Linked DNA regions of Zea mays. The protein of the gene in region 1 binds, or shares a complex with, the protein of each later gene. Links are inferred from orthologs where the notes say so. Each region holds a gene or a part of one and is shown on either strand. Other genes may lie near its edges. The genes, in order: ATP synthase subunit gamma, chloroplastic precursor; atpE.

The links.
Region 2: the proteins of ATP synthase subunit gamma, chloroplastic precursor (region 1) and atpE are in contact, whole or in part, in a cryo-EM structure (PDB 6FKF), measured with the Spinacia oleracea proteins. The link is inferred for Zea mays from reciprocal best matches to the Arabidopsis thaliana genes ATPC1 and atpE. Residues at the interface, in NP_001413255.1 of Spinacia oleracea: Asn81, Gly82, Pro84, Phe85, Thr88, Leu89, Glu91, Val92, Arg178, Pro186, Thr187, Ala188, Lys189, Gln192, Asp196, Asp197, Phe199, Ser200, Leu201, Val203, Ser204, Glu205, Glu206, Ser279, Ile281, Leu282, Glu283, Phe284, Glu285, Gln286; in NP_054942.1 of Spinacia oleracea: Leu8, Thr9, Pro10, Asn11, Thr26, Asn27, Ser28, Ile31, Pro39, Thr40, Ala41, Thr42, Ala43, Gly64, Gly65, Phe66, Arg68, Ile69, Thr75, Leu77, Val78, Asn79, Asp80, Glu82, Lys109, Arg110, Ile113, Glu114, Leu117, Arg121.

Annotation. Positions count from the first base shown.
Region 1 is NC_050102.1:161,828,072-161,844,424, reverse strand, and holds ATP synthase subunit gamma, chloroplastic precursor, read left to right. Parts: upstream 1-6,581; 5' UTR 6,582-6,624; coding exon 6,625-7,704; 3' UTR 7,705-7,904; downstream 7,905-16,353. Other genes in the region: Polynucleotidyl transferase ribonuclease H fold protein with HRDC domain, read left to right, coding at 2,931-3,109, 3,220-3,258, 3,580-4,085, 4,180-4,678, 4,859-5,511, 5,745-5,823; protein FAR1-RELATED SEQUENCE 5, read left to right, coding at 15,214-16,353. UniProt on the Arabidopsis thaliana protein: Produces ATP from ADP in the presence of a proton gradient across the membrane. The gamma chain is believed to be important in regulating ATPase activity and the flow of protons through the CF(0) complex.
Region 2 is NC_001666.2:48,819-64,310, reverse strand, and holds atpE (ATP synthase CF1 epsilon subunit), read left to right. Parts: upstream 1-9,689; coding exon 9,690-10,103; downstream 10,104-15,492. Other genes in the region: psbE (photosystem II protein V), read left to right, coding at 196-447; psbF (photosystem II protein VI), read left to right, coding at 458-577; psbL (photosystem II protein L), read left to right, coding at 600-716; psbJ (photosystem II protein J), read left to right, coding at 842-964; petA (cytochrome f), read right to left, coding at 1,864-2,826; cemA (envelope membrane protein), read right to left, coding at 3,066-3,758; photosystem I assembly protein Ycf4, read right to left, coding at 4,088-4,645; psaI (photosystem I subunit VIII), read right to left, coding at 5,008-5,118; rbcL (ribulose-1,5-bisphosphate carboxylase/oxygenase large subunit), read right to left, coding at 6,007-7,437; atpB (ATP synthase CF1 beta subunit), read left to right, coding at 8,197-9,693; and 3 more. UniProt on the Arabidopsis thaliana protein: Produces ATP from ADP in the presence of a proton gradient across the membrane.

The DNA.
Region 1 (16,353 bases):
TTTCATCATTACTCGAGTTTTCGAACACTTTCTTGGACTTGATATCTTTACCCTTCTTAGTGCTATCTTGATCATTTGCAACCAAGGCATGAGAGTGAGAGCACCTAGAGGGGGAGGGTGTGAATAGGTGATCCTGTAAAAATCAACACTAAATAGCACAAACTTGGATTATGAAGTGTTAGTGAAATCAAAACCATGGTGCTATGTCTAGAGAGAAGGAGACGACTTCTTCACTTAATTGCTCTTTACAAAGTGAGTATTAAACTTAGAGCAATTATCAAGTGAGTGGAAGATCGCACAAGAATAACAACAGGTGACACAACGATTTTTATCCCGTGGTTCGGCCAAGTAGAACACTTGCCTACTTCCACGTTGTGGCGTCCCAATGGACGAGGGTTACACTCAACCCCTTTCAAGCGATACAATGATCTACTTGAATACCACGATTTTCTTCCTTATAGTTGATGTTTCCCTTGTGAGGAATCTCCACAAGTTGGAGCCTCTCACCCTTACAAAATTAATCACAATGAAAACCACAGGAGTAAGGGAGGGAAGGAATCACACGCAAGAGCTAGAGTCGCAGCAATGGCACGCACACAAAACACAGCGCAACAAGTCTACAACTCAACAAGTGCTCAAATCTTAGTCACAGTGATTCGGATGCGTGTTTGTGGAGTCTAGGCGTCTTAGGATGTTCAATGGAGGCTTGGTGTTGTGCTCCATGCGCCTACCCCCCTTTTATAGTCCCAAGGCAGCTAGTAGCCGTTGGATCTCCATTTGGTAGGCAATTCTTGCCTTCTGTCGGTTGGCGCACCGGACAGTCGGTGCATCACCGGACATGAACAGTGCCTGATTTCTTTCCTTCTCTGGCGAAGCCGACCGTTGAGCCCTCGGTCCCCTTGGCACACCGGACATTGTCCGGTGCACACTGGTCAGTCCGGTGCGGCCTAGTGACCGTTGGCTCTGGCCACGTGTCGCCCGCTGATCGCGTTGCCGACCATTGGCGCGGGCGCTATTGGCTCATCGGACAGTTCGGTGCACCACTGGACAGTCCGATGAATTTTAGCCGCAGCACCCTCTGCAATTTCCGAGAGTAGCGAGTTCATCGTTGAGCCAGCCTGGGCACCGGACACTGTACGGTGCACACCGGACAGTCCGGTGCACTGAAGGCTGGTGCAAGTCTGGCTGGACTTAGCCAAACTTCTCCAATCTAATCTCATTTGATTTGACAAGGTTCCTAGCACTTAGAGGAATATGTTAGTACCAAAAACAATTCACTAAGGCTAGAGTCATACCTTGATTCTTGATTTGCATCTCTTCAACACTTAGTACACATCACCTTAAACACAATATGTATTGGGCATCTAATCACCAAAACATTTATAGAAATTGTCCAAGGGCACATTTCCCTTTTAAAGAGTCCCTTGTCTTGGTTGGAGCTTCCTCAGATTGTGCTATCTTGATCTTAGTGCTATTTTGATTATGCGGCTTAAGCATTGCGATGCATTTTTTTGCATAATCTCTGGTGTCATCTCTTCTCCTTGAGAAGCCTTGTTCAAACTTATGTTGATAATCTCTCAAAGACTTGGATGTGCACCGATTAAATGCTACTTCATCTTGTCGGTCCACTCGTCATACTCAATAAGAGTTGTAAGCTTTACAAGGGGTGCCGAAGAGAAGTTGAGTACAAAATTACGAGAATAATCAAATTGAAATCGGTTGAATTCGGTATCTTTGGTTTTGGTGGATGATTATTCGGTGTTGAGACTTACCTTGCTCATCACCTTGGACACCAAAAGCTCAATCAAGTCGTCGTTGTACTCCATCTTGCCTTTTCCTTTGTCTTCCTCGGTCTTTTTCTCGATTCTTCTTCGGCCTTTTTCTTCGCATCTTACTCTTTCATGTTGAGGAACATTCTTTCGACAATCTTCATGGCTCAAGTCATAAGGCTCAAGATCCTAGCTCAAGTAGTAGGACATGGTCATAAAAAGTGGAGAAGTATTGAAGTCAAGACCTGGAAGGGCCCAAAGAGCTAAGTACACTTTGACTTGTTGAATAGAAAAGAAATGGAGAAGAAAAGGACTTGAAGGGTGATGTCTGGGTGCATCGGACTACAGGGTCGGTCCGGTGTGCGTCGGACCGTCTGCGGGAAACTATATGGTCTCGAGAATTTTGGCTAAAATTCACCGGACCGTGAATAGTACAGGGTCTTGTGGTGCACCGGACCTCAACCAACGGCTAGTTCGTGGGCGCGCTGTTTTGGTTCAACGGCTAGCTGACGTGGCTCGGTCCGGTGGTGCACCGAACCGGTTCAGTGACACGCGCGCACGCCACACGCACCCACGCGCGCACACATAAATGAGTAATAAAATATTAAAAGTATATTGCATGTGTGGTCTAGTTTTGATCACAAAAAACTTATAAACACAAACATGAGATCGGTTCGACGATTAAATCTTTTAATTAAAAGATATAACGAAAAACTATTAAAATAGCTCTCTCGGTTTACGTGATGCTGCATGCAGTGCATGCATATATCCTGCTTGGGGGCTGGCGCCAGTTTTTTTATGGGCCATGCTCGGATGCATCCTGCATGCGGGCTGCGCGCATCATCTTGTATGTGCTCCGGTGCTTCCGCCGACCTGGTGCCAAATAACTATACAATCCTATACAATCTCTATCAGGGACCAAGAAAGGCAGATGTCAGTGATGACCTGAATATTATATTTTCTTGTCAACTTTAACTGCTATCCTGAATATAGTGCTATCCTGTTGCTTAACTGCAGAAATTGATACTTTAACCCTCATAAAATTTGGATAATCCTAAATATTATCTTTTCTTGTCAACATTAAATCACATATTGATATGGTGGTACCCTTGGCCTTCATCATATGTCTCAAGTCTTTGATCATCTGTAATATCTAATCAGATACTTCCAGTGATAAAATCAATTTTTTCTTCGAGGCTAGTCATCGCTCAAATATGGTGTGCATGCAACTGTATTCAAAAGAAATTGAATCCCCTCCTGGAGCTTCCAGTGCAACATCTATTCTCTCACGAAATTTGCAAACTCATGGGTTCGACTCCAAAAAGTCTAGTGAAGTGAAGGTACTTCTTTTCTGTATTCAGTTTTTGATTGTAGAATGTCTTCTGGTTAGCTTGCCAGCCAGCGATTTTGTATTTTCTGTTCCTGAATTTCTAATCTTCTGCATCCACAGGATCTTGTTTGGAAATTTTGTGCATGGAGGGACTTAATGGTCAGTAAAAAACTGTTTTCCTTAGAATAGCTGCATCCCCTTCTGCAAAGTAGATCTTTTTAATTGCTTATTTGTTGTTACCTCCAATCAGCAAAGCTTGATGTTCATACAAGTGAAAGCAGCAGCAAACTAGTTGTGTGCCTTATCACCTTTTGAATCCTGGGTGACCACCAAATGTCACTCAGGCAAGTTGCATAACGTTGGGCACATTGAAGTAAATGCATTTCCAGGATATCATGCATATTTGCAGTTATGTAGTTGTGGTGGGTCTATTCTTCGTTTCTGATATCTCATAATAACTTGGATTTTGGATCATTCCAGGCTCGGATGCATGATGAAAGCTTACGATATGTTCTGCCAGACCAAGCTATAGCTGCCCTTGCCGTTAGTCTTCCAAAGGGCCCAACAGAGGTGTTTGCTGTCATAGCAGAAACTGACCTAAGCATTTCAAGTATGTACCCTTCCTTGTCATCACCGTCACCTCTTGTTGTGGCTCATGTCAAAGAACTCTGTTATCTGCTGGATGACATCACTACCAGCATGGACAGCATCTTTAAAAGTTTACTAGAGAAGTATAAAGATCCAAGTGGATTATGTCGACTATCAGTTTATAATTATAACCTTATAACACACCTAAGTTTGAAGCAAACAAGTATGTTTTCCGTTGCTCCAAGTGGAAAGAAGTTGACAGCACTGCCTAATAAAAAGGTTTCACGGGATTTATTCATTAAAAAGTTTTCCTGCAAGTCCCCGGTATATCACAATTGCAGGATTTATGCTAGTGATGGAAGACTACTTTGCTACTGTGACCGCAAAAAACTGGAATGGTTTGTCTCCTAAATATATGCTCATTAGCTATTTACATGCATGTAGCATGAATGAAGAATTATTTTGGCAAACTGATGAGCTCTTCTATCCCAGGTACATTCAGCGTAATTTGGCGAAATTGATTGAAAATAGTCCTCCAGCAATCATGCTTCTCTTTGAACCTAAAGGTCGTCCAGAGGATGAAGATAACGAGTTCTATATTCAGAGCAAGAAAAATATTTGTGTGGGCTGTGGAGAAAAGAGCCATTATATTAGATACAGAATAATACCGTCATGCTACAGGATGCATTTTCCAGAACATTTAAAGAGCCATCGTTCACATGATATTGTACTTCTTTGTGTAGACTGTCATGAAATAGCTCATTCAGCAGCTGAGAAATACAAGAGGCGAATAGCAGAAGAATTTGGAATACCCCTTTTTGTGCAAAAGATAATGAACTCGGGTGATATAAGTTTGATTACCAACACATCAGTATCTGAAGATAAATTGAATGGAACAGGTGTCTCCCCATTGCAGCTGAGGACTGCTGCCATGGCTCTTCTACGTCATGGATCCACTATGCCATTGAAGAGATGTGAAGAGCTAATGCAGGTGATGACATCCTTTTTGTATTTCTGGCTCAATATGGATTACTTAACAGTTTCTGGAGCTGACATAGTGACATCGACGTATTAACATGTTTGATCCTATCCGTCCATATGCTTCCCTTGTTAAATATGTACTTGCTCTTAGCTATAGGTTGCTGTTATGAACCAGTTCAATTCTTTGCAGATTGTGAAGTCATACTATGGTGGTAGAGATGTGACTCCTGAAGATCTCGAGATGGCATTACTTGTTGGTATGAGCCCTCATGAGCGAAGGCGTCTTGAAAAGAAAAAGGGATATTCGTTTAGAGCTCAGGCTCAAACTATTATTAGAAAGAGCAGCAGCAATACCATCTCAGAAGACAGTGGACATGGATCAGAAAATTGTCATGCCTTATCTGCGCGATTTCCTGAGGTTGGAACTGGTAGTAATGGTCAGCAAGAGTTTGATGAGACAGGGAATCAAAACCAGCTAGAGAATTTAACCCTGAGCCAGGGAAGCTCAAGTTTGCCAGTCAGCATGGAGGACACCACTTCTGATCATGACACTGTGACACTCGAGACCGATACCGAGCAGCAAGCAAGAGGTGCCTGTACTCCTGGAAACAGTCATGACGACAAGGAACAATCCATATGTGACAATTCTAGTCAGGTCATTTCCAAGAATGCTGAGAAGATATCCCTGTTGGGTCATGGGCATCATGGTAAACAAGTTGTGGAACTTTTGTTTTCTAATGGTGGAGAGGAATTTGTTAACCAGTTTTGCCAAAGGTGGAGGCAGATCTTTGTTGAAGCTGTTCACCCCCGTTATTTACCTTCTGGCTGGAATATTAACCACAGGTTGTTTGCCTTTCATATATATCTTCTCTTGTGCGCTATGCATGCTGATTAGTTGCATAATTGCCTGAACTTCCTGGTGCTTAGAATTGGCCAAGCTGTAGCGAATATCGAAGTTATAGCCATGTACCAGTGACCTTAAAAGATCTTTCTATTTGTCGTAATGTCTTTTTGTCCAGATTTCCTTTCATCACCAGATATTTACTGTTATCTGTATGACCTCTTGTGTGGTTCAGTGGACGGCGGGATTTTGGTGACTTCAGTGTCTACAAGCCACCAAGGAAAGATCCTCAATCTGCAACTGCAAGGGATTAGGCTTACGCGGGTGTCATGCTGTCGTTGGTACCCTGAGGTTCAACTTACTTTCCAGAATTGGTTCCATTCCCTTAAACTTGATCTTGTTGTACTTGTTCCATTCCCTTAAACCTGATATTGTTGTACTTGTATGTATCTCAATCTGTGTGTTTGTTCGAGTACCTTGAAATACCAATTTCATCTCCTATGTATTTCTTTGAGATGAACTTTGCATCAGTTTTGTTGAGCCGTTTTTTTATACGTGAGGATTTAGAGTACTAACAATTTAAGTCCAAGAAAAATCAACAGTGAAGTTCAACTCAGCAGATTAAATCTTCAAAGTGCCGTTTTTAACTGGGAGTTGAGCTCAAATTGGTTTCTTCGGGACAGGCTTGAAACTTGTTGCGTTTGGAACACAGAAACTATTCAGGATTTCACTGGAAACGATTTGATTCCTGTAGAGATGGGCCAAAGCTCCTCCAAATTGTGATCGTAGGGAGTATCTGCTATTTTACCGTGGGATATCCTGGGCAGGATCCCAGTTTCCCCAGAGCATTATTTTGTTTTCCATTCCTGACAAGCAAAAATGGACTGCGGAGAGCGTCATATTGCAAAGCGGTGCAGCCAGCTCGGCAGATCCACATGATCCTCCCCATCTCGCCATCACTGCCCCTCCACCACTCAGCTCGGCTTGAATACCCCACCGTGCACACCTCTCCACCCAAACCCAATCCATCCAAACCCATTTCCCTCGCTCCCATCCCGTCCCGCCCCTTGTCTCTTCCGCTTCCCCCCGACCCCGCGCGCCGCGGACCAGCAGCCATGTCGTGCTCCCACCTCTCCACCGCCTGGTCCTCCTCGGCGCTCGCCAGCAGCGCCTCCACCACCCGACGGCGCTCCCCCCCGCGCTCGGGTCTCCTGGTGCGGTGTTCCCTCCGTGAGCTCCGCACCCGCATCGACTCCGTCAGGAACACGCAGAAGATCACGGAGGCCATGAAGCTGGTGGCCGCCGCCAAGGTCCGGCGCGCGCAGGAGGCCGTCGTCTCCTCTCGCCCTTTCTCGGAGGCGCTGGTGGAGGTGCTCTACAACATGAACCAGGAGATCCAGACGGAGGACATCGACCTGCCCCTCACCCGCACCCGCCCCGTCAAGAAGGTGGCCCTCGTGGTCCTGACCGGCGAGCGCGGCCTCTGCGGGAGCTTCAACAACAACGTGCTCAAGAAGGCGGAAACCCGCATCGATGAGCTCAAGCAGCTGGGCCTCCAGTACACCGTCGTCAGCGTGGGGAAGAAGGGCAACGCCTACTTCCAGCGCCGCCCCTACATCCCGTTGGAGCGCGATCTAGAGGTGAGCAGCGTGCCCACCGTCAAGGACTCGCAGGCCATCTGCGACCTCGTCTACTCGCTCTTCGTCTCCGAGGAGGTGGACAAGGTGGAGCTGCTCTACTCCAAGTTCGTGTCGCTGGTGCGCTCCGACCCCATCATCCAGACGCTGCTCCCCATGTCGCCCAAGGGCGAGATCTGCGACGTCAACGGCGTCTGCGTGGACGCCACCGAGGACGAGCTCTTCCGCCTCACCACCAAGGAGGGGAAGCTCACCGTGGAGCGCGAGAAGGTGAAGATCGAGACGCAGCCCTTCTCCCCCGTGGTGCAGTTCGAGCAGGACCCCGTGCAGATCCTGGACGCGCTGCTCCCGCTCTACCTCAACAGCCAGATCCTCCGTGCCCTGCAGGAGTCGCTCGCCAGCGAGCTCGCCGCCCGGATGAGCGCCATGAGCAGCGCCACCGACAACGCCATCGAGCTCCGCAAGAACCTCTCCATCGCCTACAACCGACAGCGCCAGGCCAAGATCACCGGGGAGATCCTCGAGATCGTCGCCGGTGCCGACGCCCTCGCTGGCTGAGCCTGAGTCCCCTTGGTGGTGCGGTGCTCCTGCTATATATAATTCTTTTTCCTCATTTTCTCCACTCTGCCTGTAATTCCTGATAATAGCACAAACGCAACGGAGTTCTGTGTTCCTTGCGACACACAAGAATTTCAATCCAGAGATGCCAAAATGTATAATCTTGCCGCAACTGAGACGTCGAAGCTCAGTGTATTTTTATGCCCAAGTCTTCCAAATGTTTGGCACGAATCAGCTACGGCTCGGCATCCTGCGGCATGCACCAAACACCCTACCTAGTACATGAGTAAAGGTGCAATAGCAACTAAGACGAGGCTGTTTTGAACACATAAATCTCAAAGCAATTTGACAGGATTGCTTTTTCATGCAAAATTTATCAAACTTCTGTGTTCTTTTTTTTTATAAAAAAACATTGTTAAGAGAAGAAACATATAATGCTGCAGTTGAATCACGTCACTTCCTCAGAATCATCAGGCCGGTAGGGGATGAAGGTAAACTATATATGACACCATGATAACAACGCCGGCTCATATCTTGGTCTCATCAGTTATCACAATCCTGTCCTGTGGATGGATGGAGCATATTGGAATCAAGCTTGCTATGGCGACGTAATACAGTGACAAGCGTGGTAACACTGTAACTCTTCACTATTATAAAGTAGATGTGTTTAATGTAACGGTTGATCAACAACTAATTGAGTTAGATGATCGTTTTAGCTTTGCGATAGAGCTTTTATCGCTCTCTGTTTCTTTGAATCCAAGAACAGACACTTTTGATATATCAAAGTTACACCACTGATTTTTCAATCAAGAAAGTTCCAATTAAAACGCCAACTTCCACATTATCAGCTTGGTGTATACATCACCTAGAGCTAAATACATTACCATCACTCGCTGATGAAAGGACTCATTAAATTGGGTAAAAGTTCTACGGATTAATAGATTATTAAGATTAATGGTAGTCCCTCTTGCCTAACCTGCAACCACTAAGATAGTGTTTTCAACTACAAAAATTGTCAAAACACGTTGTTGCAGGGGCGAATCCTCCGGCCGGGTGGTAGATTGCATCCGCCCTGGTACTCTGATGAGGAGTAGGTTTAGTTGATTGTCTGGCCTTCTAGATGGACACAAGAACACAAGGGTTTAGAGCGTTTCAGGCCACCGGAGCATAGTATCTCACATTCACTATGAGTTATATTGCTTTAGAGTTAGGGAGTCGAAGGTCCGAGTGTTAGATTGACCTCTCCCTGCTACAGAGCAAGTGCTCTCCCTTTTATAGTCCAAGGAAGGCACATACAAGGGAGTTTTGGCTCTGACCGATGGGCCTAAGAGAGTACAATATGGAACGAGAAACAATTGGGTAGAGCTGACAACGCTAGATCTTCATGAGTCTGTATCCCTTCTTGGACGTTGCACGATCTTCTGTCGTCCTTATCCTGTCACCTTGCCCCGTCTAATCGGAACTCAGGTCTTGATGTAGGTTGCGGTGTAGCCTGATACGCTCTCGTGCGTAGGGTGTAACGATCATGTCATCTCGTCTTCTCCATCCGTCTCTTCATGCCCCTGCCTGGATAAGGGATAGGCCCGAGAATAAGCGACGACATGGTATTCCCAAGCATTCCCTGATCATGGGCCCGGATCGCACTCGAGGGGGTCCGGGCTTCGGCCACCCACGCCTGGATACGTGGCGATACCGGACCTCACGTGGCCTGAGGTTCGGGTGTTATTTCCCATTCTTGGAACCATTCTGAAGCCTTGGTGCTGTAACCGGAGAGTGCCTTCTCCTCCGTGGCTTTATGTTCTATCCGGATCCCTTTGTCCGGAGATTCGTCGGGTCACAAGGAGGTCCTGGTCCTATATGCAGGATCCCAGACTTGAAGTTGTCGGTTCCTCCCTTTATGGGGCTTGATGTAGACGGTCGTCCAGCCCAAGAGACGAACCTGGTCTAGCCACGACTCCATATGGTGGGCCTCAGCCCCATGTTAGGTCGGCTGCCCGTGAGATCTTCAACGGTGGCCACTAGGGTCTCACTTTGACATAGCAGGAATGAGTGCCCAAAGCATATTCAGGGCACCGACACACGCTTATAGAATAGAATAGAATAGAATAGAATATGATTTTCCACAAATTTATATGATCATATGTATTGAGAAGGAATTGACCATGAAGATTAGCTCTCTTATATATAATAGAATCATTTAATTTGGGCGGTCTTCGTGGAAGCAAGTTCAAGTTAACAGAGATGTAATCATGTAAGTCTTGTTTCTCCATATATATCATATATGAAAAATTATTGTGATGTCTATTGGAGTTAATTAATATACAACTATATTGTACAAGTTTCTTTGTTAGCTTATTATCTATGCTATATGCAAATTACTATATGTGTGTGTATATCAAATCGCAATGGCTAACCCGTCCAACGAGCAACGAAGATGTAAACAGCAGCAGCACTAGCTTATTGTATGTTCATGTGTCCTAGTAACAGAGCTTATTGATCTGAAAACCTAACCATCTAGATGCACTCAGAAGCAAGTCTAGTTTCTGCACGGAAAGAGGGAAATGACCTTGCGGTGTTTCGTACGGAGATGATAGCATGCATGTATGATGCATCTAGGTGCCTCAAGTTTCATTTTCTTACGTTAAATTTCATGCGATTTGCTTGCATGGGTGAGAGATTTTATGACGGGCACAACTCGGATCGTCAAGAGCACAGGCCAACCAATTGAGATCTTATCTGAACGTATCGACTTTAATGTCTATGTGTTAGTACCAAACCACTCTAATATAGAAAGTTTTGTGCTAATTCCTCGTATTTTTAACTGCTAGCTCTTTTCGACCCCGATCAAATATTTAGGCCTAGTTTAGGAGTTTAAAAACCGGAAGAGATTAGAGAGACTAAAATCACTTCTTTATTCAAAATCCCCTTCGATTTTGTGGCTACCAAACTAACCTTGGAGTTGCCGCTATCAACTAGAATGATTCCAAATTCCCACCTTCGACCTATAGTTGATAAAGTGGCCAAAAAACTACCAGCTTGGCAAGATCCTTGTTAGAAAAAAGTGGTCACCTTATTCTAATTCAATCCACACTGCTGGAACTTCCAAATTTTGCGTTGATGGCTGAGCAAGTTCCTACTTGGGTTAAGAAAGGAATTAATACCATTGCTCGTATATTCTTTTGGACAGGCTCAGATAACTCAACAAATGGGAAGGCGGTAGTGGCTTGGCATTATATTTGTCAGCCAAAATCTTCTAGTGAACTTGGGGTCAAAAACTTCTCTATAGCTGGCATGGCACTTCAAACACGTTGGCTATGGTTGCAACACACTGATCAGACCAGAGTATGGGCAAGCCTACCTATCGAAGTGCCAAACGTGGTCAAGACATTCTTTGAAGCTTCCATTTTGTGATTGTGGGTGATGGAACCTCGTGTTAGGGAGGTATGGCTATGGCGTGGGGGAGGGGAGACGAACGCCGGACGGAGTGGCGGCGTATATTTTGCTCTTCTCAAAAAGTTACCAGCCTATTACATTGTTCAAGTACTTATACTCTCACGAAACCACAGCTCGTCCAGCCCACTATTACATAACACTAGTGTCTAACGCGCTTCCTACGCGCGCTAGTTTGTACGATTCTACCAAAAATATCAGGGGCGGACTCACGTTGGGCTGACTCAATTTTCTGATTCTAATGGAGTTTTTATCTTATTCACTATAGCTATAAAGGTCCATTAGTAAATAGGTATTTATTTAGACCCCACTCAGGTTTTGGGCCCCACTCAAACTTTTTGTTGGGTTCGCCCCTGAAAAATATGTATATTAAAGGAGGGATACTATATATAAGGCTATTATAACTATAATGTTGATGGTTTTTTTTTGATAGAAACAAATAGAGATACGATGATATATAAAACAAGCATGTTGGAAAGTAACCATATAATCCCAATATGCTTGTTTTTTGCTTGCCCTCAATTCCTTCCTATGATATGGCTAATAAAATGAAATCGTCGATTCAGGTGTCTTCACAACCTTTGGCGTTCAGATTAGAAGAATATCATGGTCAACCGGTACAAAAGGTTGCACAAATACTGAATATATGTGTTGAGAAAATGGTGGCATATATGGCTTAATATGACATTTCTTTTTAAAAGGTTTGCCAGTTACATTAGCACTTTTTTTAACTGCAACCGATTGAAAGCTAATGTTTACCCTTACCTCTCTGTCACATTATCATTTTATTGTTCTACTCTTCATCCCGATTAGTCTAAAAAAAGAAGACCTCGCTCGAAGACAGGTACGTGTTACAATCTTACTTCTAGATTTATATTTTTTACATAATAGTTTTTTTTTAAAAATTACAACCATTTCCTTTGGGTTTATATGGTACATATTTGACTAACCTTTTATGTGTTTCATTTATAGTAGTTAGTTAACATTTGTTACGTTCCCTTCTCCACTACGGAAAATACAAATTCAATCAGCTCTTTCCTCTTGACATATAAACATTCCTATTACTCTGATGTGTGTATCCATACATACATATGCGCACACACAAAAATACATATGTGCGTGTGTGTATGCATCAATATATGCACATATATAAAGCATGGCATATTTGAAATACCGCATTAGCATGTGGAGGATGAAGAGGATCAACAGCGTATAGTGCGGGCGTGGCTAAGCATGTATGCAATTGTGCATGCGTCATACAACATGACCGTGTGCAACAGTGCAACACAACAGGGCGACCTGGACAACACATTTTGCTGAGGCGTATCATCAAATAGCTAGCACGCACGGATGGAGTCTTTAGCAAAGGCGACGCTATGTTCTTCAAAATGTCACATTGGCCGATGGAAGATGTGGGAAGAAACATCAGAACATAGAATGAGGAATGGCGGAATATGTTGTTGGCTTTCTCTATTCGTGGGCTTGCCATGGCTAGGACCCTGCGGCGGGTACACCAGGAGGCACGCACAGCAGGCGGTGCTGCCAGTGCGTAGAGGCAGCTTGGGCACGGAGAGCCTCGTGGCCACCTCGGGAGCGAATAGCAGCACGTCCCGATGGCGGCCACAGGGAACGGAGTATGAAGGCACGAACGACGGTGGGGGTAGAGATGAGGTCAGACGCGAGGAAGATGACGAGCGAACTGGTTCCTTACGGAGTGAGAGGATGCGCAATATGGCTGAATGCACCGTCACTGAAGAAGCAATAGAGGCAGCTAGGATGCGGCGGCCCGAGGGGGGAGGTGGAGCTGGGATGTGGTGGCCCGACGCGGATTCGAACGGGAGGTGGGAGGAGGATAAAAATGCAAGGCGTGGATGAAGAAGTACCTGCATCGCCTTCTTCGCCTCGGCTCCTCCGCGCGGATGCGCCTCTGCTCCGCATCTGCTCTTTCGCCCAGCTAGAAGGTGGTATTTTCTCCCTTTGTTTTTTATCAGCCCTTTGTTTTGTTTTTTAATCGCGTTCTGGATGTTTCCAGCACGGACCCGAAGGTAGGCGTAACGTCTCGCTAGGATCTGCAAGGGAAAGGTTGATGCACAGTGTTGATTCGCGATCTGACGGCATGAATTAATTAAGCTAACGTGGCCGAACGGTGGACGAGCTTTGCGTCCACGTTTGTAATATAGAAATATATTCATTTGGCCCATTCTGACCCAACAACGCGCCTATTCGGCTGGCATCTTAGAACAATTGGCGCCTTTTTCCTTACCTATGCTTATGTCTTCTTCTTCTTCTTCAGTGATGCCTAGGGATGGTAACAGGAATTCCCTATCAGGCTTTGGCTTCTCATTCCCGTCCCCGCAACAAAAAAAAGTTCTCCGTAGGGATTCCCATTAGGAGGGCATTTCTTCCCTATCCTCGTTCCCCGCGGGGATAAATCCCCGTCGGGAATAAATCCCCGTCGGGGATCACCATCCCCGTTTAAATTATAATCATGGCATATACTTTCTTTGTTATTAATACAAAATATTGTCGCTTATACACATTGTCAGACGTTAGAAATTATTATGTGTAAATCGAAATAAACATATTTATACAACGAGTGATTTCTTAACAATGTAATTATTTATTTTTATCATTATATATTATATGAAAATATCATCATACATAAGTTTAACGGGTCCCCGCGGGGAACGGAGATTTCCCATCCCTGTCCTCGTTTATCATTGGGGGAGGTTTTTTCCGTTTACATCTCTGTGGGGGAACCTTCTTTATTTCCATCTCCTAATGAATAAATTATCCACAAGGAATCAGGGACCGGGGTCCATTGTCATCTCTACTCACACCTTCGAAAACGCACGGCGAAGGTACCAGCAACTTCTGCGACAAATCACAGGCTTCGCCGGATCTCTCACCTTTCCTTGGGCTTTGTTCAGTCAAATTGGATTGAGGTCAGAAAGTACAAATAAACTTATTATTCTAGTCGGAACGGTTCCGTAAACGAACATGCCCTCGCCGGCTCGCCGGATCTCCGGGTCTCCGCCTCCATTGCCGGCATCAAGTGGCTATAAGCCCTAGGCCCTAGCCTAGCCACCGCGCCGGCATCGATGCAATGCAAGTCAGCAAGTGACATTACGAATCGATACAATGCAACGTGAGATGGGCCACATAACTAAACAAGATGGCCTATACGTACAAAACACAAGGCCCAACCCAAACACACCAAAAGACCAACAATAACGCTTCGTTCTTCCTCCTGGTCCTGGAGCAGCGTTTCAGAGCTTGCTCCCGTCAGACTCTTGAGCGGCGGCCGGAGCCGGCTACTCCGGCGGAAATCGCCTCCCGAGTTGCCTGATCGGCTCCCTGAACGAGAGTGGTCAGAATCATCTTTTCCCACTCCTGCCGTCTATTTTCCCGACTACTCTACGTGCGCTTTCTCTCTCTGCGCAACTAGGTGACCGCGACCGCGGCCACCGCCCTACGTCACGTACGTGCTTGCTAGAGTCTAGCCTCGTCGGTTCCTTCGCATGGTCTCGTTCAGGCGGACCCTTCGCCGGCGACCAACACCCACCAGGTATGCGCATCCTCTCTTCCCTCCGTTGCTGCGCGAAACCGAGTACCTGAACCCTAACTTATTCTATTTGCGTATTTTTGTTCGGAACGGATCTAATTACAAGTTTATGTATGTAGTGTTCCTAAGAAATTCGATTTTTTTAATAAAGTTATTGGTGTCGTCCGCTTCTGCTCGAGGATTTAGCAAATGCCTTCTCTTGATGATACGATGAAACTAGAGCTTAGTTGTAAACCTTCTTTTTGGAGATAAAAGTAAGAGTTTTAGAGTTCAGGCATCGTGTCATGTTGCAGCACAAGGCCACACACTAGCATTGTCTTGCAGTCTTGCTGTCTTGCTATTATTGATGTAATCGACATCCTATGTAGAATAGTGTTTTTTTTTTTTGCAGCTTACACGGTATACATGAATGTTGATTTGCAGCAATTTACTGGAAGTGTGGAACCACTTCTGATGCTGTCTTTGTAAATATTGATGGAGCTAGCTGAGTAGAAATGGACTGCAGTCAAGATCCCCAAGAAGAAAGCCATCAAAGAAGGGAGAATGGTGAAGAAGCAGAAAAGACGGCTGACTATGGAAATGCTTTGAGTCGTAAGGAGGTAACAGAAGAGCTTCTTGGTTGTGTGGTTCATAGTGAGGAAGAGGCGTACAGGTTGTACTGTGATTATGGGCATCGAATCGGTTTTAGCGTGCGGAAGGGCAAACAGTCTTACTTTATTGGTACCAAGAATATTCGAACAAAGGATTACTACTGCTCAAAGGAAGGGCTTAAATACGATGAGCCTGTTACAGAAGCAAATTTTAATCGACCAGACACAAGAACTAATTGCAAAGCAATGATCCGCTTTAGAGTTGACGAGAAGGGGCGGTGGACAGTTATACGCTTTGTTCCTGTACATAATCACCAGTTGGCAAAACCTGGAGAAAGACACATGCTGAGATCAGCCAAATCGCTTGCTGTTGGCAAATCAGGTGTTATAGATCCATTAGCATCTACAGAGGCACATCCAATTAATGGTTTCTCTGATATGACAGGTGATATAGTTGAGAATTCAGGGTATACTATAAGGGAATGTTACAATCAAGTGGGCATGCAGAGTATAACAGTAATTGAGGCAGGGGATAGCCAAAGTCTTGTCAGCTATTTCAAGCATAAAACTAATGAGGAAGGCATGTTCTATTGGGACGTCCAAGTTGATCAAGAAGGGCGCATGACGAACTTCTTCTACAGGGATGGTAAAAGTAGAAATGATTATGGCTGCTTTGGAGATGCCATTATATTTGATACAACCTACCGCACAAACAAATATAACTTGATATGCGCCCCATTTGTTGGTGTTGACCACCATTGGCAAAATGTTGTTTTTGGCTGCGCGTTCTTGTTAGACGAGTCTGTAACTTCCTATGCCTGGGTATTTAAATCATTCTTGGAGTCAATGGGAGGGCGATCACCAAAATCAATATTCACTGATCAGGATGAAGCTATTATGCAGGCAGTCAAACAGGTTTTCCCTAATACGCAACATTGTTTTTCCTACTGGCATATTCTGAAGAATGCTCAATCTCATTTAGGCTCACTAAATACGTCTCAAGCATTTCAAAGTATGTTTACCAAGTGTATGCAAGGATCTGAC
Region 2 (15,492 bases), on another chromosome or scaffold:
TTTCGGGACCAAGCAAAACTGGATTGCTGTGCCATAGGAAGGATAGCTATACTAATTCGGTATACTCAAAATACACCTTTGGTACAAAATTGACAATCTCACAAGGATGAAATATCAGTAATTTTCTATTTACTGGTGGATCCCATCTTTTACGGAATCAATTCCTTTTTTGAATAAAAATTTTGGGAGCTCAGCATGTCTGGAAGCACGGGAGAACGTTCTTTTGCTGATATTATTACCAGTATTCGATACTGGGTTATTCATAGCATTACTATACCTTCCCTATTCATTGCGGGTTGGTTATTTGTCAGTACGGGTTTAGCTTATGACGTGTTTGGAAGTCCTCGACCAAACGAGTATTTCACGGAAAGCCGACAAGGAATTCCATTAATAACCGACCGTTTTGATTCTTTAGAACAACTAGATGAATTTAGTAGATCCTTTTAGGAGGCCCCCAATGACCATAGATCGAACCTATCCTATTTTTACAGTGCGATGGCTGGCTGTTCACGGATTAGCTGTACCCACGGTTTTTTTCTTGGGATCAATATCAGCAATGCAGTTCATCCAACGATAAACCAAATTCCAACTATAGAACTATGACACAATCAAACCCGAATGAACAAAATGTTGAATTGAATCGTACCAGTCTATACTGGGGTTTATTACTCATTTTTGTACTTGCTGTTTTATTTTCCAATTACTTCTTCAATTGAGAGAAAGAAAGAGAGTAGTAAGAATTCTCTTATCCCATTTGGAAGGATACCATCTTTATAACTATCCATGACTGTTTTTGTCTCTAGCATGACCACTTGAGAAAATGTGGAGGAAAGTAGGGGAAATGGCCGATACTACTGGAAGAATTCCTCTTTGGCTGATAGGTACTGTAACTGGTATTCTTGTGATTGGTTTAATAGGTTTTTTCTTTTACGGTTCGTATTCTGGATTGGGTTCATCTCTATAGTAATCGGAGGATCCAGATTGTAAACATGAAAAAGTAGGAACTTAGCGGGTCCTTACTCCCCTTTATCTGATTAGAGCGGAAAGGGCCCGCGGAATTCTTATTGTTATAACGCGGTTTTGTTCCATAATCTAGAAATTGGTTACCTATTTCTATTTGTAAAAATAACAAAGAGAAAACCTTTGCTCTGATGGTTGGAATCCCTCCATTTATTCTTTTGTTTGTTAATGATGTTAGTGAGTGAAGCAAACCATCGGTCGATTTAAAGCCCCCGCCTTTCGCCCATAAAATGGATTCACTCTTATGAAGCAACAAGAAAGAGGGGAGAGGATCCAGTATTTTATTCCATGAAGGAAGTATCCTGCAAATCGTTGATTTAGTTTAGAGTAAATAAACTAATAAAACCTTAATCAAAACTACTCAACTAGCCTAAAAATCAAAACCACCCTTCCATGGGAGGGTATAGATTTTTTTTTACAAAATTTCTGTAAGTTCAAAGTTGAACTTAATTCAAAAAGTAAAGCAATTCTATTTGCTCACAAGAAATGTGTCCCCGCCATACCTTCTTTCCCTCTGTTTGTCCACTACCGCGCCCGAACCTAAGCAAAGGAAGTCCAAAAGACAGACCCGAATAAAGAATAAATAGTAATCTTTGACAAAACAAATAAGAAGAAAAATGATTCTTACTTCGATACAAGAAGAATCGACACAAGAAAAAGGCAAAAAAGCCTTTTTCTTGTGCCCAATAGAGGATTAAGAAGACCCACAATTCCTCCTAAAAGGACTTGTTCCTTTTATTGTTCTCGTCTTTGCCTTGGATCCTCTTCTTTTGCATGAGATAGAAATAAGGAATTCCAGAAATCGAGGCTTTTTTCTCACTTGATGGTAAGAAATCCCAGGATCTAGAAATTCATTTCGTACAATTGAACCTTTTCAAACTGTTTCTTTTTGAGAACCAAAAAAACTTGTGCCAAAATAACAGATGCGAAGAAAAACAAAAGGCCTTGGACGCGCAATGGATCCTGAAGCACTATTTCTGCATCCCCCTGACCAAACCCTCCTACATTAGGATTGCTTGTTAATGGTTGATCAAGCTTGATCGATTCCCCCTCTGAAAAAAGAAGTTCTGGCCCGGGAGGTATAATATCAATCACTTGGCGCCCATCCGATGCATCCACTATGGATATTTCATATCCCCCCTTTTCTTTACGTAGTATTTTTTTTACTATACCTGTTGACGTAGCATTATAGACCGTATTGTTACTCTTGCTACCGTCAGGATAGATCTGTCCCCTTCCTCGGTTTCCCCCTACATATATGGGATATTTTAAGAAATGAACGTCTTTTTTTGTAGCGGGATCGGGGGAAAGAATGGGAAAGACAATTTCACTATATTTCTTACCGGGAACAGGGCCTATCACAAGAATATTTTTTTTATTGGGACGATAACTCTGAAAAGAGAGATTTCCTATCTTTTCTTTCAACTCAGGAGAAATACGGTCGGGCGGCGCTAATTCGAATCCCTCGGGCAAAATAAGAACAGCACCCACATTCAACCCTCCCTTTTTACCATTAGCAAGAACTTGTTTCAGCTGCATATCATAAGGAATTCGAAGAACTGCTTCAAATACAGTATCAGGAAGCACTGCTTGGGGAACTTCAATATCCACAGGCTTATTAGCTAAATGGCAATTGGCACATACAATTCGTCCAGTTGCTTCCCGCGGGTTTTCATAACCCTGCTGCGCAAAAATGGGATATGCGTTTGAAATAGATGTGCGAGTTATTACGTATATCATGATCGATACAGAAATCGATCGAATCATCTGTTCCTTTAACCAAGAAAAAGTTTTTCTATTTTCCATGTCCAATCGCGGATCCCGGAATTTCTACAATAAATTAGATAGGTAGCTAAGCTAATCTAGTTCCCTATACACGAGTCTGTTGTCATTCTACTGCAATAGTTGTACTAGAATGATGAATACCTTGAGCAGGTAGAAATAGAAAGAATTTGGTTAAAAAGGAAAAGGGCTTTCTTTCTATTTCTAAAGGAAGAAAAGAAATATGCTAATTTGATTAATATTAGGAAATGAAATGAGTGAGTTTATGCTTCACTAATTGAATGATAAATGACTACAAGTGAAGGAGATAGACGGTTTAAACAAAAAAAGACCCAAAATTTCAAACACGTGTCTAGAATCACAGGAAAACTACAAACAAAAATAGTGAAAATTAGCTCGTTAGGAGCCCATCCAAGATTGTTGTAGACCCAACGAATTAGTAGTTCCCAACCGCGGGTAGAGTGAAATCCAACAAAAAAATCAGTAACTAAAAGAATAAAAAAAGCTTTTATTGAATCATTTAAGTTATAGAAAAATTCCTGAACCCAAGAATTCAAAATGACAAGTTCTTCTTTACCCAGAAAAAAAGAACCACTTAGAATAGCCAAACAGATTATATTTGTTGAGAAATGCAAAATGATATGGAGATGATCCTCATTATCTATTTTGGCCAATTGTATTATTTCCTTGTGTATTCCTATAGGAAGTTTTTGTACATGTGTCTTCGGTTTCTCTTTTATCATTTCGTCCAAGAGAAAAAGTTCCTCTAATTCTATGAATCCTTCTAGAATCCTTTTCTCTTGAATATCAGTTAAGAAAGTTTCGGATTGCCTGGTATTCCACCAATTCTTAATCCAAAGTTCCAGACATTTGTTAAAAGAGAAAGAGACTCCCCAGGGCAAAAGTACGATAAATACAAGATATAAGAAAGAAGGCAATGCTTTCTTTTTTTTCATTTTTGATCTGTAAGCTGAATATATATGATATTTCTTTTCTTTGAAGCAAAAATTCTATAACAAGGTTTGAGACCTTGTGTTTGTATCTATTTCTCTTTTTGTATACTAGTGGAATTTCATTGTATTGGGTTCTTTCTTAGATCTAAATGGAGTGGAATAGAGAAATAAAAAAAGGCCTTTCGTATAAAAATGGAAGAATAGTATGCCATATATCTCACTTGGACAAAACAAATTCGAAGCAATTTTCTCTTATCCTCGTTTGTTCCTTCCTTTACTTTAGATAAATACTCGAAAATCCCCTTACAATTGCAAAAAATTGCAATTGGTACTCAAAATACTTCAATTGGTACACGCAAGAAATAGGCCAATTCGGCAGCTTTTTGTTCAATTTCTCGTGGAGTAAAAAACTTCTCATCAGTACGAGTCAAGGGAATGACCCCCTGGCCCCGGATTTCCATATAAAGGATACGACGAGGATAAAGACCCTCTTTAACCTGAATTCTAATTGATTGGATATCCCGCACAAGGAATTGAAGGAAGATGCGACGTTTTATTCCAGGGAATCCCCAACGAAAAATGCACACTATTCCCTCTTTTCTATCGAATCGGTCATAACCACTGCCTACATTCCATAAAATAGTGCACCACAAATAGGAGCTAATGAATAGGCCCGCGATTCCGTAGAAAGACATCACGACCCCCTGTGGAAAAAAAAGAATTTGTTGAGATGGAAGTACAGATATCATATTCTTACCAAGATAACTGGAAGCCCCAACCGCTAAGAATCCTAATGAACCTAGAAAAAGAATACAGGCCCAGAAAAAATTACCTCTTTTTCGAGAACCTTTTAGAAGTTCTATCCATATGTGTTCTGATCGCCAATTCATATTAGATATACTAAATCCAGTAGCGGTCAATTGAAATTGAGAGAATAAGCTAAATGATTTTTCACTTTACTTTTTTTGATTCTGAAATAGCCTTCAGTAGCTAGTACTCCTGTGAAATAATTGGTTAGATACATTGACTTTCTATTCAAAAAAAATTAGTGGATCCACTTAAAAAAAAAAACTCGCTATAGTCGGCTACGCATATGCATGCATTTATGCTCGTAGCTTATATCTGCATCCATAGACGTTTTTCATTTGTGTGTAGAAAGAGCTACATACCCTATCATATTATAGTACTTACACAAAAAAATATCTGTATTATGATCCTGGAAATACATTGAGAAAATTTGGCCCCGTCGTTTCTAGACAATCTTATTTTTCTGCACATAAAGAAATAAGGAAGTCATTGCAATTGCCGGAAATACTAAGCCTACTAAAGGTACGAAAATAGAGGGTAAGTTAAAATCTGTCATAGAATATGTGTCTCAATTCAAATTTACTATTTCTATCTATTCGAAATATATCTTAAGATTCTTATGATATAATTAAGTATATCTATTATAAGGAATATTGACTATTGTATTTTTTAGTTTACAAAATAAAGATTTTTTATAGATATAGAATAAAAAAGTATTCTATAAAATAAATGAATGGAATTGATAATAAGAAAATTGCAAAAAAGGGGAACTCAAAAGGGGAACTCATTAAAATAAAATATTTTATTTTTCTTTTCCCATTCTCATCGCCTTTCTATCCTTCTAATCGAACTTGAAATTGGATTCAAAAGAAAGCTATTGTGAAAATAAAAGAAATACCTCTTTCAGAATACCCTTTAATTTAAAAAGTAGAAGTGGAATAGAATACCCAGTTGAAGGGTAATGATCATACGTCTGTAATGCATTGTATGTCCCAGAATAGGTCCCATTCTTCTACCTTTCCGGGTAGTCGATGGCTATTCACAGCTACTACCTTAACACCAAAGAAGAGTTCGACCCAATGCTTTATTTCTGTCTTAGTGAATCCCGATTCGACATTAAAAGTATATTGATTCTTTCCCAATAAACGAAGACTCTTTTCTGTAAATACTGCGTATTTGATTCCATTATCGTACGATAATACTATATTTTGATTTATATTTGTTTATTGTATTATACCTTTCTATATTCTAGATATATAGAATAGAAGAATCTCGATTTGTCAAGTCTCATGATCGTATCAAGATCTATTTCAATTCGGCTCAGTCTTTTTTTTTTTTAGAAAAGATTGAGCCGAATTGAATTGCAATCAATTAGAAGAATAAAGAAGAATTACTGCATTTCTTAACTTATTTTTTCTCTTTCTATTTTGCTTTTTTTTTTATTTTATATGGTATCCATCGCTTTGAAACCATCAAATTTGATCTCCTTCCATATTTCACAAGCTGCGGCTAGTTCAGCACTCCATTTGCAAGCTGCTTTGATAATTTCATTACCTTCACGAGCAAGATCGCGCCCTTCGTTACGAGCTTGTACACAGGCTTCTAAAGCCACACGATTAGCTGCTGCACCAGGTGCATTTCCCCAAGGATGTCCTAAAGTTCCTCCACCAAATTGTAATACGGAATCATCTCCAAAGATTTCGGTCAGAGCTGGCATATGCCAAACATGAATACCCCCAGAAGCCACCGGTATAACACCTGGCATGGATACCCAGTCCTGAGTGAAAAAGATACCGCGAGAACGATCTTTTTCAATAAAATCATCGCGCAATAAATCAACAAAACCTAAAGTTATTTCGCGTTCCCCTTCTAACTTACCTACTACTGTACCGGAGTGGATATGATCTCCCCCCGACATACGCAATGCTTTAGCTAATACACGGAAATGCATACCATGATTTTTCTGTCTATCAATAACTGCATGCATTGCTCGGTGAATGTGAAGAAGTAGGCCGTTGTCGCGGCAATAATGAGACAAAGTAGTATTTGCGGTGAATCCTCCTGTTAAGTAGTCATGCATTACAATAGGAACCCCTAATTCCCTTGCAAATACAGCTCTCTTAATCATTTCTTCGCATGTACCTGCAGTCGCATTCAAGTAATGCCCCTTGATTTCACCAGTTTCGGCTTGTGCTTTATAAATTGCTTCGGCACAAAAGACGAAACGGTCTCTCCAGCGCATAAATGGTTGTGAGTTTACGTTTTCATCATCTTTGGTAAAATCAAGTCCACCGCGTAGACACTCATAACACGCTCTACCGTAATTTTTTGCGGATAATCCCAATTTTGGTTTAATAGTACATCCCAATAAAGGACGACCGTACTTGTTCAACTTATCCCTTTCAACTTGGATACCGTGAGGCGGACCTTGGAAAGTTTTTGAATAAGCAGGGGGAATTCGTAGATCCTCCAAACGTAGAGCGCGTAAGGCTTTGAAACCAAATACGTTACCCACAATGGAAGTAAACATGTTAGTAACAGAACCCTCTTCAAATAGGTCTAATGGATAAGCTACATAACAGATATATTGATCTGGGTCCCCAGGAACGGGCTCGATGTGATAGCATCGTCCTTTGTAACGATCAAGACTGGTAAGTCCATCAGTCCAAACAGTTGTCCATGTACCAGTAGAAGATTCCGCAGCTACTGCAGCTCCTGCTTCTTCAGGCGGAACCCCGAGCTGAGGAGTTACTCGGAATGCTGCCAAGATATCAGTATCCTTGGTTTCGTACTCCGGGGTGTAGTAAGTCAATTTATAATCCTTAACACCAGCTTTAAATCCAACACTTGCTTTAGTTTCTGTTTGTGGTGACATAAGTCCCTCCCTACAACTCATGAATTAAGAATTCACACAAGCACAGGGACAACTCGATAGGATTAGGCGAAAGAAACCTTTGCAAAAATCTAAAAAAAATGATATTTAATTAATATCAACTCATTAAATAAAAAAAGGAGTATGCTTAAGTTAAGTAATATGTTTCATTCATTTATGTATACACCCTGTGTACGTTCTATCCTATAGGAATTTTACTATAGGAATTCGATAGGAATTGAGTTGTTGTTATGGTAAGTTAACACGGTTCGTTATTAAACCGTGATTTGATTCACCAAATCCATCATTATTGTATACTCTTTGATAGATATAGCGCAACCCAAACCCTAATCTTTATTTTACAATTTTTAAAGTTCTTCCCCTTTGATATTTTGAATCTAAATACCTAAATACTAAGAAAATTCTCTGTTGACAGCAATCTATGCTTCACAGTAGTATATATTTTGTATATCGAAGTCCTAGATAGGAAAGTAGAGTAGGCACAGATCCTTCACAAAAGGCGAAATTTATATGAAAAAAATGGATTGAACTTTCCAACGGATTCATTCCATAAGTAAACGATTGAATGGGATTCGCTTGGGCAACGAAATCAAGTGCGAGTCCCCTTTTCTTTTTTATTGAATTAACTAATTCATTTCCTTTTGACTTTTGGATTTTTGGATATTTTTTTTGATTTGGCATTATTCAACAAGAAAAAAAATTTCGACAAATTCTTTTTTTTTTGAAAATTATGTGATAATTATGAGAACCAATCCTACTACTTCGCGTCCCGGGATTTCCACAATTGAAGAAAAAAGCGTAGGGCGTATTGATCAAATTATTGGACCCGTGCTGGATATCACTTTTCCCCCGGGCAAGTTGCCTTATATTTATAATGCTTTGATAGTCAAGAGTCGAGACACTGCCGATAAGCAAATTAATGTGACTTGTGAGGTACAACAATTATTAGGAAATAATCGAGTTAGAGCTGTGGCTATGAGTGCTACAGAGGGGTTGATGAGAGGAATGGAAGTGATTGACACGGGAACTCCTCTCAGTGTTCCAGTCGGTGGAGCTACTCTCGGACGAATTTTTAACGTTCTTGGGGAGCCTATTGACAATTTGGGTCCTGTGGATACTAGTGCAACATTTCCTATTCATAGATCTGCGCCTGCCTTTATCGAGTTAGATACGAAATTATCTATCTTTGAAACAGGTATTAAGGTGGTCGATCTTTTAGCTCCCTATCGACGTGGAGGAAAAATCGGACTGTTTGGGGGGGCAGGAGTAGGTAAAACAGTACTCATCATGGAATTAATCAATAACATTGCTAAAGCTCATGGAGGCGTATCCGTATTTGGCGGAGTAGGGGAACGGACTCGTGAAGGAAATGATCTTTATATGGAAATGAAGGAATCCGGAGTAATTAATGAAAAAAATATTGAGGAATCAAAGGTAGCTCTAGTCTATGGCCAAATGAATGAACCGCCGGGAGCTCGTATGAGAGTTGGTTTAACTGCCCTAACTATGGCAGAATATTTCCGAGATGTTAATAAGCAAGACGTGCTTTTATTCATCGATAATATCTTTCGTTTTGTTCAAGCAGGATCGGAAGTATCCGCCTTATTAGGCAGAATGCCCTCCGCAGTGGGTTATCAACCTACCCTTAGTACAGAAATGGGTTCTTTGCAAGAAAGAATTACTTCTACCAAAAAGGGATCTATAACTTCGATCCAAGCAGTTTATGTACCTGCAGACGATTTGACCGACCCTGCTCCTGCCACAACATTTGCACATTTGGACGCTACTACCGTACTTTCCAGAGGATTAGCTTCCAAGGGTATTTATCCCGCAGTGGATCCTTTAGATTCAACCTCAACTATGTTACAGCCTCGGATTGTTGGCAACGAACATTATGAAACTGCGCAAAGAGTTAAGGAAACTTTACAACGTTACAAAGAACTTCAGGACATTATCGCAATTCTTGGATTGGATGAATTATCGGAGGAGGATCGTTTAACTGTAGCAAGAGCACGAAAAATCGAGCGGTTCTTATCACAACCGTTCTTTGTGGCAGAAGTTTTTACCGGTTCTCCAGGAAAGTATGTTGGTCTTGCAGAAACAATTAGGGGATTTCAACTAATCCTTTCCGGAGAATTAGACGGCCTACCCGAACAGGCTTTTTATTTAGTGGGGAACATCGATGAAGCTAGCACGAAAGCTATAAACTTAGAAGAGGAGAGCAAATTGAAGAAATGAAATTAAATCTTTATGTACTGACTCCTAAACGAATTATTTGGGATTGTGAAGTGAAAGAAATCATTTTATCTACTAATAGTGGCCAAATTGGTGTATTACCAAACCACGCCCCCATTAACACAGCTGTAGATATGGGTCCTTTGAGAATACGCCTCCTGAACGACCAATGGTTAACGGCGGTTCTGTGGAGTGGTTTTGCAAGAATAGTTAATAATGAGATCATCATTTTAGGAAATGATGCAGAACTGGGTAGTGACATTGATCCAGAAGAAGCTCAACAGGCACTTGAAATAGCCGAAGCTAACTTGAGTAAAGCTGAAGGTACGAAAGAATTGGTTGAAGCGAAGCTAGCTCTCAGACGAGCTAGGATACGAGTCGAGGCTGTCAATTGGATTCCCCCATCCAATTGATGAAGACAATCCAAAGATTTCGTTGATACAAAGAAAAAGGAAAGAAGGGTAGAAAAAGTTATTAGATAGCGAAGCGAAGTAAGTCCAATGCTATCTAGTAATTTTTCTACCTACCTACCTACTATTGGATTTGAACCAATGACTCCCGCCGTATGAAAGCAATACTCTAACCACTGAGTTAAGTAGGCAATTTATCACCACAAAAGAAGCCCCATTACTTCGATCGATTATAGATTGAATCCTTTTTATAAGCAATACCGCTCCGTTATTGGTATGTTATGTTATATAGTAAACGGATCAAAGGGATATCCTCTGGCATTAGAGAATATTCATCTTGACAAGAAATTATCTATATGTTAAGATATCTCTGACAAGGGCTATAGCTCAGTTCGGTAGAGCAACTCGTTTACACGTGCGCCAATGCTTTTCAAGGGAACTTATTATGCAATGAACATAATTGACCTTGTTGCAAAATCAATGTCTTACTTCATGGATTCGAAAGAATAGAAGAACAGTAGCCTGACAATGACAAACAGCTGGTTCAGTCCGATTCAGGTGCCAATTAAGGTGCTTACTCAAATAGAACTCCTATTGATTTGCTAGTTGATAAGGTAAATATCCAGCCCACTCAATGCTAGGCGTAATGAGGATAAGGGCCTCCAAAAAACTTCTTTTCGTTCTATGAACTTTAAGGTGTATGAAGTCTCATAGTAAACTCTTGCAGCGGAACGATAGAGACTCCATTTCACTTAGGTTGATTTAATTTAGGCCGGAGGCGACCTAAGTCAAGGTAATCCTCCTTTGAAACACTTTGGTATTGTTCCTAGATAGATCATAAGACAAATAATCAATCAGAGCACAGGGAGCCATCTTATTATCTTTCCCTAAAGAAAAACTATGGCGAATTAACTGATCTTTACATTAGTTGATGAAAGAGCCCAATGCAGAAAAATGCATGTTGGGTCTTTGAAACAGTTCGAATCATTTCGATAATAATCTGTTTGATCTGTTTTACCGAGAAGGTCTACGGTTCGAATCCGTATAGCCCTAATATATACGTCTTTTTTCCATTTTAGGATGGATATCTTATGTTTCCTTTAGTATAGTTTTCTTTTCCTTATTTAGTACTTGTTTATAGACTCGATGGTCGATTGCGCCATAGAATAGAGATAAAAGCATTACCATAGGCTCATTCATCGAAACGCAAATCAGAGAGACAGGAAAAGAAAAAAGAATTTTGATCAAATCAATAGAAGGAAGGATCCCTTACCTGATTTGAATTTCATCCTCCTTTAAATAGGATATGCTCTAAGTCTTCCCATACTTTCCTATAATGACTGCAACGATTTTCTCCATTTTGCGAATTCCTATTTTATTTGAAGTATATTACTATCATATACATTATCTAAATCGATCCACTTTAAATAAAATAGAAAAAATCGAAAGAAAAAAAAAAAGAAAGAGTAAATAATAAAACAGGATATTCTGTTTCATAATTCTGAAATAGAGTTCTTTTTTTTAGTATTACTCCTCATTAGGATGTATATATTAATCATCCTATTTTAATATATATTAATCATCCTATTTTAATTAGGTTCTAATCCAATTAGTAGTAAGTATTTTCTTTTTTATTTAATAGTCTCTGACTATCATTAAATAAAGGGTAGAGCAATTCTTTTTTCTAGAGATTCTAGAGAAAGTGAGACAAAGTGAAGCGAAAGAGTTTTCTTTGTATAAGAATTAGGTCTATATCATATCTAAATAGAAGGGAAATCAAAAAGAAGGGAAGTGGGGATTACATTGGATGAATCCTTAAGGAAGACATATCACAAAAGAAATAAAGGCTAAAGTAAGCGCTCCTTGCCTTTGGTTTGAGCAAAACAGATTCTTGTTTCACCGAGGAAAAGAGAGAAGTTCTGGATAAATTGACAATGTCAACTTGAATTGACTAATTCAGTTCCGCCTATTCCACATTAATGGGAGTACATTTATGTTTCTGCTTCACGAATATGATATTTTTTGGACATTTCTAATAATAGCAAGCCTTATTCCTATTTTGGTATTTTGGATTTCAGGACTTTTAGCCCCGGTTAGTGAAGGACCAGAGAAGCTTTCTAGTTATGAATCGGGTATAGAACCCATGGGGGGGGCTTGGTTACAATTCCGAATACGCTATTACATGTTTGCGCTAGTTTTTGTTGTTTTTGATGTGGAAACAGTCTTTCTCTACCCTTGGGCAATGAGTTTCGACGTATTGGGTGTATCCGTTTTTATCGAAGCTTTCATTTTTGTGCTTATCCTAGTTGTTGGTTTAGTTTATGCATGGCGAAAAGGAGCCTTGGAATGGTCTTAACTGAATATTCAGAAAAAAAAAAAAAAGAAGGAAAAGATTCCATTGGGACAATTATGAGTTTGATTGAGTTTCCGTTACTCGACCAAACAAGTTCCAATTCCGTTATTTCAACTACACCAAACGATCTTTCAAATTGGTCAAGACTCTCAAGTTTATGGCCCCTTCTATATGGTACCAGTTGTTGTTTCATTGAATTTGCTTCATTAATAGGCTCACGATTCGACTTTGATCGTTATGGATTGGTACCCAGATCAAGTCCTAGACAAGCGGACCTAATTTTAACAGCTGGTACGGTAACAATGAAAATGGCTCCATCTTTAGTGCGATTATATGAGCAAATGCCTGAACCGAAATACGTCATTGCTATGGGAGCCTGTACTATTACAGGGGGCATGTTCAGTACAGATTCCTATAGTACTGTTCGAGGAGTTGATAAGTTAATTCCTGTGGACGTCTACCTGCCGGGTTGCCCGCCTAAACCAGAGGCTGTTATAGATGCCCTAACAAAACTTCGTAAGAAGATAGCGCGAGAAATAATTGAGGATCGAACTCTATGTCAAAGTCAAAAGAAAAATAGATCTTTTACTACCCGTCACAAACTTTATGTTCGGCGCAGTACTCACACTGGAACTTACGAACAAGAATTGCTCTATCAATCACCATCTACTTTAGATATATCTTCTGAAACTTTTTTCAAATCCAAAAGTTCAGTATCTTCCTACAAATTAGTGAATTAGGAGGGGTTCTTTTGTGCAGAAAAAGAAAGAAAAGAGCAGTACAATCTTTCAAACTTGCATTTGAAATGTGAAATATTTATACAAAGGGGGAGAGATCAAGACAATGCAGCAGGGTTGGTTATCTAATTGGCTAGTTAAACATGACGTGGTTCATAGGTCTTTGGGCTTCGATCATCGAGGAGTAGAGACTTTACAAATAAAAGCGGGGGATTGGGATTCCATTGCTGTCATTTTATATGTATATGGTTACAATTATTTACGTTCCCAATGTGCTTATGACGTAGCACCCGGTGGATCTTTAGCTAGCGTGTATCATCTTACGAGAATACAGTATGGTATAGATAACCCAGAAGAGGTATGCATAAAAGTCTTTGCCCAAAAGGATAATCCTAGAATCCCGTCCGTTTTCTGGGTTTGGAGAAGTGCCGATTTTCAAGAACGCGAATCTTATGATATGGTGGGAATTTCTTATGATAATCATCCACGTCTTAAACGTATCTTAATGCCTGAAAGTTGGATAGGCTGGCCCTTACGTAAGGACTATATAACCCCCAATTTCTATGAAATACAAGATGCTCATTGAGTGATAATAAATTCATGTTCACTTATACAACACAATTCCAGATTTTATTCAAGTCAAGGAATATTTTGACGTTCTGTTCCTAGACGAAACGAAATACTTAGAATATAATATTCTAATTAATTCCTATTATACAAAAGGTCCAGATAGACTGAACAAAAAGGGCTTCATTTCTATTTTCCAATTTGGAAAATCACATATTTGTTTCCTTCGTATGAACAGAAAAATACAATGACTCAAAGAAGTTCCTACCACGAACTTTGTACCGCGCATATTACTTAGAACAACTGGGAAAGTAGGATAAGCAAGAATAAAAAAAAATATATTCTTCGGAATAGCGGTATACAAAATTAATAAGAAATGCAAAATGAAGAAAAGGGCACCTAATCTCACCTCTTTCTATACCATAAAGAACCAGAGATTTAAACCCTTTTTTTTAAAAGAAAAAGAAGTGTGTAGAGATTTATCTACTTACTCTAGAGATTTATCTACTTACTCTAGACTAAAGACTAAGTAGATTTTTAATAAATATTTACCCCAATCCATCTCAAAATATTTGTATCAATATCTATTCAGTAGATCCTTTTTTTCTGTGCCAGGAACCAGATTTGAACTGGTGACACGAGGATTTTCAGTCCTCTGCTCTACCAACTGAGCTATCCTGACCCTTTCTTGTGCATCATCTTAGTAAAGTATTTGCATCTATGTCAATTAAAGGGACTAAAAAATCAATAAAGTATTCCATTCAAAATTAGGAAATGGGAGGGGTTAGTCCTATGCATTGTGGATGGCTTACTTAATAATACTTAAAAAAAACGAATTAATAATCGAGATTCCTTGCCGATACTCTACTCTAATAAATAAAAAAGAAATAAAAAAGAAATCATCTATTTAATGAATAGCATAAGATTCATTGAGTTCTTGTCGCACTCCTTTGTGAAAGAGTAGAATGAGAAAGCTAGTGAATCTTAAACCCATTGATAAAAGAAAAAAAGGATAACAACTATGGTTAGGGAATAAAAGAGGGTTTGGGGATAGAGGGACTTGAACCCTCACGACTTATAAAGTCGACGGATTTTCCTTTTACTAGAAATTTCATTGTTGTCAGTATTGACATGTAGAATGGGACTCTCTCTTTATCCTCGTCCGATTAATCCACTTTTTAAAATTAAAAGATCTCGAAAACAATGAATTGAAGGATTTGATTACTCAATATTTGATTGGAATAGATTCACAATAATTCTAAAAAAAAATTATGAATTTTCTATTTCATAATCATTCCTAATTTCATTCTAAAAATAAAATAAAGAACCTATATTATAATATGGGTTCTGTGATTAATCGTTATTACTTCGATTCGTTAGAACAGCTTCCATTGAGTCTCTGCACCTATCCTTTTCCTTTGGGTTCTAGTTTGAGAACCACTTGTTTTTCAAAAAAGGGATTTGGCTCAGGATTGCCCATTTTTCATTCCAGGGTTTCTCTGAATTTGGAAGTTACCACTTAGCAGGTTTCCATACCAAGGCTCAATACAATCAAGTCCGTAGCGTCTACCGATTTCGCCATATCCCCATTTTACTTTTCTTTGAAACCAGGATTCCTTGTATAATTTAATCCATCTCTTAGTTTTTTTTGAATCATTGAATTCATTATTCGACGTAGTCTAGCAACTCATCTCTATTTGAGACACCCCGCTCGCTTATTGCAATTCAGAATTGC